2 linked regions of the Arabidopsis thaliana genome follow. The main gene of each other region encodes a partner of the protein of the gene in region 2 in a complex. Each region holds a gene or a part of one and is shown on either strand. Other genes may lie near its edges.

The links.
Region 1: SMU2 (region 2) and SCL30 share a complex: the UniProt entries of both Arabidopsis thaliana proteins name them as parts of the spliceosome.

What each region holds. Positions count from the first base shown.
Region 1 is NC_003074.8:20,558,976-20,564,424, reverse strand, and holds SCL30 (SC35-like splicing factor 30), read right to left. Parts: upstream 3,624-5,449; 5' UTR 3,523-3,623; intron 3,405-3,522; 5' UTR 3,402-3,404; coding exon 3,226-3,401; intron 3,126-3,225; coding exon 3,048-3,125; intron 1,948-3,047; coding exon 1,777-1,947; intron 1,636-1,776; coding exon 1,604-1,635; intron 1,422-1,603; coding exon 1,343-1,421; intron 1,261-1,342; coding exon 1,111-1,260; intron 1,026-1,110; coding exon 923-1,025; 3' UTR 540-922; downstream 1-539. Other genes in the region: AT3G55470 (Calcium-dependent lipid-binding (CaLB domain) family protein), read right to left, coding at 3-69; PBL1 (PBS1-like 1), read right to left, coding at 4,462-4,886, 5,074-5,197, 5,277-5,422. UniProt on the Arabidopsis thaliana protein: Involved in intron recognition and spliceosome assembly. Probably active at the 5' splice sites.
Region 2 is NC_003071.7:11,254,389-11,260,945, reverse strand, and holds SMU2 (RED family protein), read left to right. Parts: upstream 1-1,875; 5' UTR 1,876-2,032; coding exon 2,033-2,079; intron 2,080-2,170; coding exon 2,171-2,311; intron 2,312-2,406; coding exon 2,407-2,456; intron 2,457-2,533; coding exon 2,534-2,648; intron 2,649-2,723; coding exon 2,724-2,772; intron 2,773-2,873; coding exon 2,874-2,963; intron 2,964-3,512; coding exon 3,513-3,581; intron 3,582-3,988; coding exon 3,989-4,112; intron 4,113-4,593; coding exon 4,594-5,000; intron 5,001-5,143; coding exon 5,144-5,527; intron 5,528-5,615; coding exon 5,616-5,897; 3' UTR 5,898-6,014; downstream 6,015-6,557. Other genes in the region: AT2G26470 (embryonic stem cell-specific 5-hydroxymethylcytosine-binding protein), read left to right, coding at 456-565, 646-711, 863-1,630. UniProt on the Arabidopsis thaliana protein: Auxiliary spliceosomal protein involved in splicing of specific pre-mRNAs that affect multiple aspects of development.

The sequences.
Region 1 (5,449 bases), on a different chromosome or scaffold from region 2:
ACCAAGAAAATCAGAGCGCTTGAGACCTTTGCCACTGATCAGACTAACCTCAAGGATTCCAACAGCCATCTCTGTAGAGTTATTTTTTAAGTTTTTGGGGTTTGTGTTGTTTCTAAAGAAAAAGAAGAAGAAGAAGAAGAAGAAGAAGAAGAAGAAGAAGAAGAAGAAGGAGAAAGAGAAACGATTGATGAAGTGGATGTGTCAGACAAAGTCTTTAAATACAGAAGCAAGAACACGCAGACTTTCTCGTTCACATAATGATTTTTTACTATTCTTATTTACTCTTTTTCAATTTTCAAACATAACCTGCGTCGTGGTTCCAAGACTTGATCAAACCAAACCAAACCATTATTACGTAACAGGAGGCAAAACCTAAAGTTTATAAGTCTGGTCAACTAAGCTAAAATGACCATCTTACCCTTACTTAGTTTAAGGAAAGACTCTTGGCTGCTTGAAAAATGTATACGAACCCAATTAAAAGTAGAAGTCTTTGGACTTTTGATCAAAACAGACCCAATAAAACATCATTATGGCTTCTTCTAGATGAATGAGTCTTTTTATTCTCTTCTTCTCAGAAATTCTTAGACCTGACTTTCCTAATTAAATATCTGCAAAGGCTGCTCGAGAACAAAAAAAGGTCGCAATTCTCGACCTCGACCATACGAGAGAAGACTTGGTTTACTCGCTCATTGTGGGTTTTAAACCTGTCTCACATCAAAAGCATAACCAATCTTCTTCATACAATTTTATAATAAGACCCATAAACCGAAACCGATTTCAAGTAACATCACATCACAAGACAAAATATCTTTGACAAGCCAGAGTAAGGAGTTTTTAAAGACACAGAGACGCACTACTAGAGAAATGCAAAACCCATAAAGCGTTGCACAAAGTTTTGGTCGGCCACTTCTTCACATAAGTTTCATCTTGGAGATACCTCCACAGACCTGGACCTGGATCCTGATGGCGACCTTGAAACTGCTCTTCCACCACGACGTCTATCCTCTGCTTCATAGCCCGGTTTTCTATTAAGACCAATCAATGTCCAGATACGAAAAATCAGACACAATCTTCAGGGGCAAAACAAATCAGACACCATGTTTCACTTACTCTCTAATCTCATTGTCTCCATTTCTGTCCCGATCTGGAGCAGCAGCAGCAGCACCTTCATAGCCAGGGGAGTAGGACCTACGACTGTAATTTTCATCTTCTTCCCCACGAGGAGGACCTCCTCTTCGTCTTGGTGCAGGAGAGTAAGACCTGTAACACCATTATCTAAAACCATATATACTTCTTGTTGACTTGATGATGATGGAAATGTATGTGTGATGAAGCATGTTACCTTGATCGGTATCTGCTTCTAGAATCTGACGGACGACGTGGAGAACGTGATCGAGAGATTGAACGTGAACGAGACCGTCCTGAGAACAAAAAATCATAAACATACTCAAGCTGTGTATACAAACCATGAGAACATGTATAAACAAGTGCTTTCTCAAGCTGTGTATAAACAAGTGCGTCCCAATCTAGCTGTGCTAATATTTGTGTAAACTTTGCTGGTATAGAACATAACATGTGCATAACCAGAGAGAAAATTACTAACCATGAGAACGATCCCTGGAGCCTGAAGGTTCCCTGAAAAATTGAGACAACGCAACGATTATTTCCTTCTCAACTTCTTTTCATAAATGATGGATAACTTGCAGAGCATTAATCACGAAGAGCGATTTGATTGATAACTCTTTTGCTTAAGCAATCAGAAATATGGAAACTTACCTACTACGAGTCCTAGTCTTCACACGCATCTCTTCAGGCCTTTTCCTAGACTCTGAAGCAACAACCACCGTTATCTCTCTTCCAGCAAAGCTTCTCCTGTTCATGCTTCTTTGAGCCTCCCCAGCATCATATGCATCAACAAACTCCACAAACGCAAACCCCCGCGGTTGCCTGCATCATTTATCAGAAGCTTATCATTCCAAGTGGTTGATGGTTGAAAGCAAATGCACAAAACACCAGATAAATCTAGAATTACCAGCAAAATCAGCCTACATTCTACAGCTTCTGAGAACTTCTAAGTAAACGTCATCGTGTGAGAACTTCTAAGAAAAGCAGAGTTCTACTTACGCTAATATGATTAGTAGCTGACCCTTTCATAACAGTTCAAGCATATCAACTCGAAAAGAGGCAAGCATCTTGTAAAAATAAGATGCACTTGATCCCAAACTTAAGTTCTCTTCAGGTCGTCTTCCCCAAAAAACTTCTAAGGTTTTGAGTAATTTACTGTATAGCTTCATAAAGAACATGCTTCACTTATTACTGCTTCCATTCAGAACATTCTTCACTTACTACTTGCTTCCAAACAAAACATTCTTCACTTATTACTTGCTTCCAAACAAAATATTCTTCACTTAATACTTCCTTCCAAATAAAACATGCTTCACATATAACTTGCTTCCAAACAAAACATTCTTGATTTGAAATGACCCTTAATATCCTTAAGTTAAGATTTTTTTCATGAGGCCTTCATCAAATGTGGGGCTTGGTCTTGTTTTAACTTCAAGCCAACATACCCCCTGGGAAATCAGTGGAATGTTTAATTTACTATGAAAAAAAGAACTCCAAAACAAAAAGCTCTGAAAAAATCGAGAACTCAACCAAAAGGACCTCTTCTCACCTCGAGAACTTAGCTCGATCAAAAAGTGGAGTGTATAAAAAAAGTAACATGCACAGGTTGCGCCAAAATCAAAATTCAAAACTCATATGTCACTTGCAATTTTCCTCACTTTGTGCACAAGTTGAAGACTTATGAACATCCTTTTTAATCAAAACAAATGGTTCAGCATTGAATGTGAAGCAGCAAAGTGTTTAGACAGCATTTTTCAATCGTAAAGAAAGCAAATTCTACAGGAAAACAAGAATCATATGCTAAGCCATTACCTAACTAGTCCATCTATAAAAGATTCACACCTCAAAAGACATAATTCGCAGCACAAATTTCAGGTACAGTGAAAAAGATCAAGATATCGAGAAGGAAAGAGGAGGCTTACCCTGAGTAATAGTCTCTGGGGATATAGACATCTCTCACAGGTCCAAACCTCTCAAAGGGCTCACGAAGCTCTTCTGGTCTACAAAATCAAAAACAACAAAATCAACAACAACCCAACGAAATCTTCAAAGATAAACTAAAACAAAATCAAAACTTTAAACCAAAGGAAGAGAATTTACCTGCAATCAAGAGGAATGTTACGAACCAAGAGACTTCCATGGCTAGATCCTCTACGTCCACCACCACCACCACCACCACCATATCCACGTCGAGGAGGAGGAGGAGGAGGACTTCTACCTCGACCACCGTATCCTCTCCTCGGAGGACTGTAATAAGGCGGACTGTATCTCCTCATCACCTACCATAGAAACAAAACGATTTCAACGCAAGATCCTCAATTTCATCAAAACAAAAACTTGTTTCTTGGAAGAACAGTGATAAATTAGGGTTTACGGTCGGAGGATTGTGGAATTTACCTGCGACGGAGTTAATTTGATCACTTGAGAGTAGCAATGTTCAAAGACAGATCTGAAGTGAACCCTAAGCCCTTCTTATGAGAGATCAGAGAATAGAGAAGAAGAAGACAGATCTTTTTCTATTGATCGGAGAGCTTGGCCCATTTATTAAATGGGCTTTTGGCCTTATCGCGTTTTTTCCTTTTTCGCGTATGTTTTTTTAAATGGAAAAAGGGAAAGATTGTTGATTGTTGACAATTAGAGAAACAGTAAAAAAAATTGGGGAAAAAACAGTTTTAGTAACTTTTAACATTTATGACAAAAACAAAGTAACCCTTAAATATATAAGTTTACTGAGGTGACTTGTGTTTTGGAGATTCTCGTTCTAAATTGATATAGGAATTTTGAAAACCTCAAATTGAGTTAGTTCTTGTTCTAAAATAGTGACTTATTTGGCTATGTTGAATAGTTATTGATATTGATTTAACTCGAGATCCATTTTGGCTTAATTAACGTAAAATTTATTTATTTCTGGTTGATGACAATGTTCATGGAATTTGATATTTATGGTATTTTGTGAACTTCGGAATTGATATTAATGTTACATTATGAGTTTGTTGTACTATTCTGTCTGTTTTTGGCTACAAGTTATTTATGATTCAATCATCAACTATACTAATTAAAGTCATTTTCATAAAAACAAATCAACTTGACAGAAATTAGTTACATATATAGTAAACTAAAATGTTAGAAGAGAGTGGAATTGATCACTACCACATTTTGGCATATATCACCAAACTATAGATAGAGAGAAAACAAGTATCTCCAAATCGAATATTTCAGGAGCAAAACTATAAGCAGTGTTACAAAATGTCAAAATCACTTCGCACAATATTACAATACACAAGAAGAAGACATGAAGAGTACCTAACCAAGTAACCTTATATTTCCCTCTACCTACTACAATCCAACGGTTTTTTTGTTTAAACCGTTTCTCTGGTACTTGTCTTCTGTTTTCAATCCCACAAGTTTCTTGGTATCCTTAACCTTAAGCGGGTCAACATTGGCCGGTTTAACCACGCTGTCTTGCAGCTGTACCAAGGCTCGAACCACTTGGTCCATGGTCGGACGTGATTTGGGTTCGAATGATAGGCATTGCACAGCAATGCTTGCCAGTCTCACTGCTCCTTCGGGTTTGTACTGTGAGTTAAGCCGAGTGTCCACAATTAGTAGAACCTTTCGCCTGCTTGTGAGGTATGGTCGAGCCCAATCCACAAGGTTTTGCTCCTTGGCCGGGCGGTTATGGTCTAGTGCTTGCCTTCCACATAGTAGTTCTAGCAGAACAACCCCGAAACTGTATACGTCGCTTCTAGCATTTAAGTGGCCTGAAAAAAGATAGAAAGATGAGAGAACGAAACTAGCTATCAACCCATATGCTCCTTTAACCACATAAATTTTATAGTTGCTATCTTCAAATTTACATTAAAAACCAGTGTTAGGCACCATGCAACAGTCTTACATTTTCTTATCCAACCATTATTACTTGCATCATATCTTAGTGACAGAATGTACCTGTTGAGACATACTCAGGAGCTGCGTACCCAAAAGTACCCATGACCCTTGTACTAACATAACTTTGTTCTCCCATTGGACCGTCTCTCGCTAAACCAAAGTCTGAAAGCTTTGCGTTGAAGTCCTGTTGTTTGAAAGACAAAACTCAGTATCTTTTAAGTCGTTGATAAAGACAACAAGTAGACATCGAAAGAGAAGAATACCGAGTCCAGTAAGATGTTTGACGCCTTGATGTCTCTGTAAATGACTTTGACGGGATCACTATGAAGAAATGCAAGACCTTTAGCTGCATCAAGTGCAACCTTAATCCGTAGAATCCAAGATAGCGGCTTAAAATCCTTATTTCCATCTTCAAAAAAATCATTCAAACATAAGA
Region 2 (6,557 bases):
TATATACACTGGCTACATCGTGTGACATTTTTTCTTATTCAGTAATGATTCTCAGTAGCACAATGAAACACATAGCATATGAAGTTGGGAATTGTATATTTGTCTATGGACGCTTGAAGCTTGTGTTCCTCGTTGTTTAAAATGAGGTTTAATCAAACCCGCACATTAATAAAGATACAAACTTATCATAGTAGTATGAGTTGTTTCTGTTTTCGTATTACATCTGATTTGATAAGCTCTTTTAGAAAAGATACATATGTAATTGCATGAGAATCTTTAACTTCTTTAAGTACTGGAATAGAACAAGCAGTGGCTGTTTAAGGTAGTTTAATATTGAGAGTAGCGTTTCTTATACAATGCTTACATTATTAGCGGCTGTTGATGATTGTTTTGTTGATTTGCAGCAGCCCTGAATTTTTGTGTTAACACGTGAGTTTGTTTATTTTTCATGTAAGACAGAATGCCTGTAATTCTTGGTGATAAGGATTCAATCGACACATGGTTAGATGATCCCTCGACAACGAAACTGCAGCCATTACTTTCACCATATGAAAAATCGGATTTGGTATGCAATTGCTTACTTCCTCGCATATAAGAGTGGTCTTTCCTTTTTCATTTACTTGAGATTGAAGTTTGAACTTTCAGGTATGGTATCCAGTAACCTCTGCAATTGGTAAACCAACGTTTGATGGACCAGAGTGTATTCAACAGGTACGGTTAACATCTTTCCCTTTCTTAGTAGTGTACAACTCAAATCTCAAGTTTGATCTCAAGTCGCATTAAACATATTGTCAGGATCACTATGTATTTGTACAGTCTGTATGCTTATTGTCATTTCAAATAAGGATTATGCCACCTGCAGATACCGCTAAAGACTTCACAAAATAGCTTGATCTCGAAGTTTTTCTCAACAAAGCAGCCCAAAACAGATGAAGGAGACAAAGAAACCAAATCAACAGATGCAAATATCATAGTTGATTTGAAAAAGGAACCTACGGCTGAAAAGGACACGTTTTCTGACAGCATTAAGAAAATTGAAGAACTAGACGGGGAGAAAGATATGTCGAATGTAGCCAAAAATCTGGAGTTTCAAGAGATTGTGAAAGCAGAACCATTTGTTGAAGATAACTCAGCAGTTGCGTCACTTCCTGAACCTGTAAAGAATGATGTTCAGGAGGGTACAAAGGAAGAAGGCAAATCCCTAAAGACTGGTCTTACTAAAGAAACAGGTGAGAGCAGTGCCAGTATACCGGCTGAGTCCTACATCCTTGATCTCCAAAGAATCTCAAAAGAAGAACCCGAGACTCAAAGCCATCATTTCTTTACTGCAGATGAGAGATTGAATCAGCTGCATGAGGCTGTCGAAGATATTCCAGGAAATGAAAACCAGAAGACAGTTTTAACTAGCCCGACGACGAAGGAAGGTGGCTTAGTGTTTAGCGAAAAGAGTGGGACAAAGCGAGACTATGAGGTATTCTCAGCTCAAGAAAAGCCACAGAAACACTATGAGAGGTTGCAAAATGTTAAAAGCAGTGGGAAACAAGGAAAGATGCATGGAATGGGGAAATCTAACATCAAGAAATCTAAGGAGACGCAGTCTACATTACATTTCTTTTTCGATGAGAAATAGTTTTGAGTCTACATAACATCTATGAGGACCATGTTGGCCTACTTTTGTTGTAGATAATGTTAGATAAGACCATCGTTTTGGGAATGTTGCTTGTATTGTATGTGTAGTGTTTGATCTTTGATCTAAGGTAATATTATTATGAATGAATTGGGTTTTTAATGTCCTTGGTGGATGGTAAAAATTTGTGAACCAGGTTTCGATAATCAAACCCGGTCGCTAAACGATTTTATCGGTTTAAATTAGATCCGGTTTCTAAATTAAACATCGAATTCTAATTTCCCCTGACCAGAACCACCAACGCTTTGAAATCGAAACAGACACAGATATCATCAGAACGAAGAACTTCAGCCAAAATCTGATTTTTCTCTGTTTCACGACAAGAAATCGAATTAACGAAATCTAATGAAACCTTCAAAATCGCATCACAAGGAGAAAACCGCTCGTCGGAGGTCAGAAATCTTCATTTTCCTCTCTCCCCTTTTCTTCAAAAGCTAGGGTTTTTACACAAAAACATCAAAACTCGTCACTTTTCCTTCACAGAGAGGAGAAACTAGAGGAATCCGATAATCCAAAATACAGAGATCGTGCTAAAGAAAGAAGAGAGAATCAAAATCCTGATTATGATCCATCAGAGCTTAGTTCTTTCCATGCCGTTGCTCCTCCCGGAGCTGTCGATATCCGGTAGCACTTGTCTTTCCTCGATTACTTCATTATCTTTCTAAATTCTAATTGGGTTTCTCTAAATTTCTGTTGCTGTGTACTTTTTTTTGTTGTAGTGCTGCTGATGCACTTAAGATATCTATTGAGAACAGCAAATATCTTGGAGGTTTGTGTTAGGTTTACAAATTTATTCAAAATGTTTTTTTTTTGAGGTGCTTATGTTGTTTTTATGATATGGTTTAGGTGATGTTGAACATACCCATTTAGTTAAGGGTTTGGATTATGCTTTGTTGAATAAAGTACGAAGCGAAATCGTTAAGAAACCTGATGGTGAAGATGGTGATGGTGGGAAGACTAGGTAGATTTGGTTATACTTGGTTTATTGACTCATTTGGCTTCTTTGATTCAAGTGCTAATTTTACTATATTAACAGTGCGCCTAAGGAAGATCAGCGAGTTACTTTCCGTACCATAGCTGCAAAGGTATGCAATTTTGTTCTGAACTTTGCAGATGAGGAGCAAGTTTTGGGATGTAGTTAACGCGCTTGATGTTTTTTGTTTCTCTTGTCTTTGATCTGTTTCAGTCAGTTTACCAGTGGATTGTTAAGCCTCAGACTATCATCAAGTCTAATGAGATGTTTCTTCCCGGTAGAATGACATTTGTCTATGATATGGTATTGCTTGTTAACTCTTTTTCAGGAAGATTCAATCTTATTACATGTTCTTATGTCGTTGTTTGTCTTAGGAAGTAGTCATACATGTGTATTCTGCTTCAACGATTCTTCTTCGAGTATTAGTTAATATTTAGTTAAATCTTCGCTTCTAGTTTAAATACATGTCTCAGGAAAATTTTAAGAAGGTAGCTTAAGCTGTTTTGCATTACCTTGTTAGCGATTTATTCACGATTTAATCTATTTGTTAGAAACCTTATACGCAGAATTGGTTGTAAAGGTTTTTTAGTTCGATTAACGTGTCTGCTCTTCTTGAAGAAGCATATTCTTTTTCTCTTGCAGATAGAGACACCATACGACAAGAAAAGTCAGTTGAATATACTATTGATATTTGGTAGTGTTACGTATGAAGTTTCCTTTGAGATACTTAGTCTCAGCTAAGCTGCTAGGCTAAGCTTATAGTATGGGTTTAGTCTGCCCTTTGAAAGCCTCCCTGTTGATGTATATTAATTTTATTCCCTTTTGTTTTTAATTCTATTTGTTGCTTTTCAGGAAGGTGGCTATACCCATGACATACCGACCACGTTATATAGGAGTAAAGCTGACTGCCCGGTGCCCGAGGTATGTATACTTAGAGTCCTTGTTGTAATAGTCTTCTTGATCCTGGAAAAATCTTTAGACTGTAAGCAGTGATGTGACATGATCGTTTTGATTCTAATGAAAATAAGCCCACTCTGCCTGTCTCTGCAACCTATTTTCTTTTACAGTGTTGATGTATTCAATACAGCTAATATCGATTATATAAGTCATTAGTTTTGGTAGAAGCATAGATTTTCTTTAAGTAATTATAAAAATCTTTTTAAACTAAATTCAACTTTCTTTCTACTAATCTGGAACCAAAATTAACGTTGCTTAATATGTTTGTTTACTGAACATAATAAAAATTTATAATTGAAATCACTGCTGCAATTTTTGCGAGAATTGTTTCATTTAACAGGCACTGTTTCTCTGTCCTATCTCCCCAACAGGAATTTGTCACAGTCAATGTTGATGGTTCTGTGCTAGATCGAATTGCTAAAATCATGTCATATCTTCGCCTTGGGTCGTCGGGGAAAGTTCTCAAGAAGAAAAAGAAAGAAAAAGATGGGAAAGGTATTTTGCATCTACTGGTGCATTTTTTTGTAAAGTTTAAGTATTAGCAGACCTGATTCACTTACACTGGTTAAATAAGTTCTCTGCTTTTCCCGAAATTTGTTAATTATCTGGTCTTACAGTTTGGAGCCAAGAATGTAAAGAGTGTACCTAGTCTTTGACCACAGTACTAGTAGTATCTACTGATGTCTGGTTGTGTTCTCGCTTATCAATTGTGAAGAAATTTAGTTGTATCATAAATATGTTGCTGCCGTCCCTTGATGGTTCTGTAAACTCTGTTGTTAGTAATTTTTATTATGCTAATGTGGTGCCAGTACATGTTGTAGTTCTTGTTTCACATCAGCATACAATTGGATACAAGTTGGCTGGTTTCTGATTCTTTAGCAAGATAATTTGCTAATTTCTATTCTATCATACGTTCATGCATTTTTTATATTATTTTGCCTTATTAATCACATCCACTGCAACTTTTCAAATGCAGGAAAGATGTCAACTATTGCTAATGATTATGATGAAGACGACAATAAATCTAAGATTGAGAATGGATCTTCTGTGAACATAAGTGACAGGGAAGTTTTACCTCCTCCTCCGCCATTACCACCTGGGATAAACCATCTGGATTTGAGTACGAAACAAGAAGAACCCCCTGTTGCCAGGACAGACGATGATGACATATTTGTTGGTGAAGGCGTCGATTACACGGTTCCTGGTAAAGATGTGACACAGAGTCCTATTTCTGAGGACATGGAAGAATCTCCCAGGGATAAGGAGAAAGTATCTTATTTCGATGAGCCTGCTTATGGTCCAGTGCAGGAGAAGGTACCTTATTTCGCTGAGCCTGCTTATGGTCCAGTGCAGCCATCTGCTGGTCAGGAATGGCAAGATATGGTCAGTTCACCCTAGCTAATCCTTGGTTGTATTTATTCTCAAATCTTGATCCTCGTCTGCAAATTTTGCGTCTTGGTATGTAGTTATTAGATGTCATTTATTCCCATATTTAGGTTTTTTCTGGTGGTTGTGTGTTTTTCCAGAGTGCATATGGTGCAATGCAAACTCAAGGACTGGCTCCTGGGTACCCCGGAGAGTGGCAGGAATACCAATATGCAGAGCAAACTGGGTATCAGGAGCAGTACCTTCAACCTGGAATGGAGGGTTACGAGGTCCAACCAGAAACCGATGTTTTACTAGATCCTCAACTCATGTCGCAGGAAGAGAAAGATAGGGGTTTGGGATCGGTTTTCAAGCGTGATGACCAAAGGCTTCAACAGTTGAGGGAGAGTGACGCAAGGGAGAAAGATCCAACTTTTGTATCCGAGAGTTATTCAGAGTGTTATCCAGGTTACCAAGAGTACAACCATGAGATTGTCGGTAGTGATGAAGAACCTGATTTGTCTAAAATGGACATGGGTGGAAAGGTATGCCCTGACTTAATTACATGTTCCTTGTTATTTATTGTGGAAGAGCAAAATTACAGTATCTGGTTGTTGAATGTACATGGAACAGGCAAAGGGTGGTTTACATCGATGGGACTTTGAGACAGAAGAGGAATGGGAAAAATATAATGAGCAGAAGGAAGCGATGCCAAAAGCGGCGTTCCAATTCGGGGTAAAGATGCAAGATGGTCGAAAGACAAGGAAGCAGAACCGTGACCGTGACCAGAAGCTCAATAATGAACTTCACCAGATCAATAAGATACTTACGAGAAAGAAGATGGAGAAGGAGGGTGGGGATGTTGCTTCTTTGGATGCCGCCGAGGCACAAACTCCTAAGAGATCCAAGCATTGATTTGTCTCTTGTCTACTCCAGTCATTCTCTCGTAATCTATTTTGTATCTTCAAGTCTGTTTAGGTTTTTGGTACCTTGAGTTCAAATTCTTAATTTAGAAAAGATTTTACGTCCAAATTTTGAAATGATAGCATTCTTATTTCCTAATTACCCATTAAACACGAAGCAGTTTTGGGAGTTGGGACAGCCTTAGGTTTTAGGTTTAGCATCACCAAAAATGAGACGCTTCAGTAACCAACCCAACAAGACAAGCAAAAAACTAGAAAAATCATAAAACCCTAATCAGAAAAATGGCCACAGATTCCATGAATGCAGCCACCGTCAATGACTCCGACCGTTTCATCTTCTCCACACCTCTCTCCGCTCGTGGTTCAACCAAACGTGACGCCATCTCCGTCGAGGATCTTGGCCAATACACTCTTCTCAAACTCCATTCAAATCCGGTTTCACAAACTACATAGATCTTGGCCAATACAACGACGAAGATGACGATGTAAGAATCCTCTGTTTCACACCAATCTCCATAGAAAAGGGACAGTCCTCTGTTTGACCAATACAACGACGAAGACGCTCTTTCGACTGCGAGATATGTGTTGAACGAAAACCAAGGATTGAATCTTTTCGAATCAATGGCTGTTCTCACACTTATTGCAACGATTG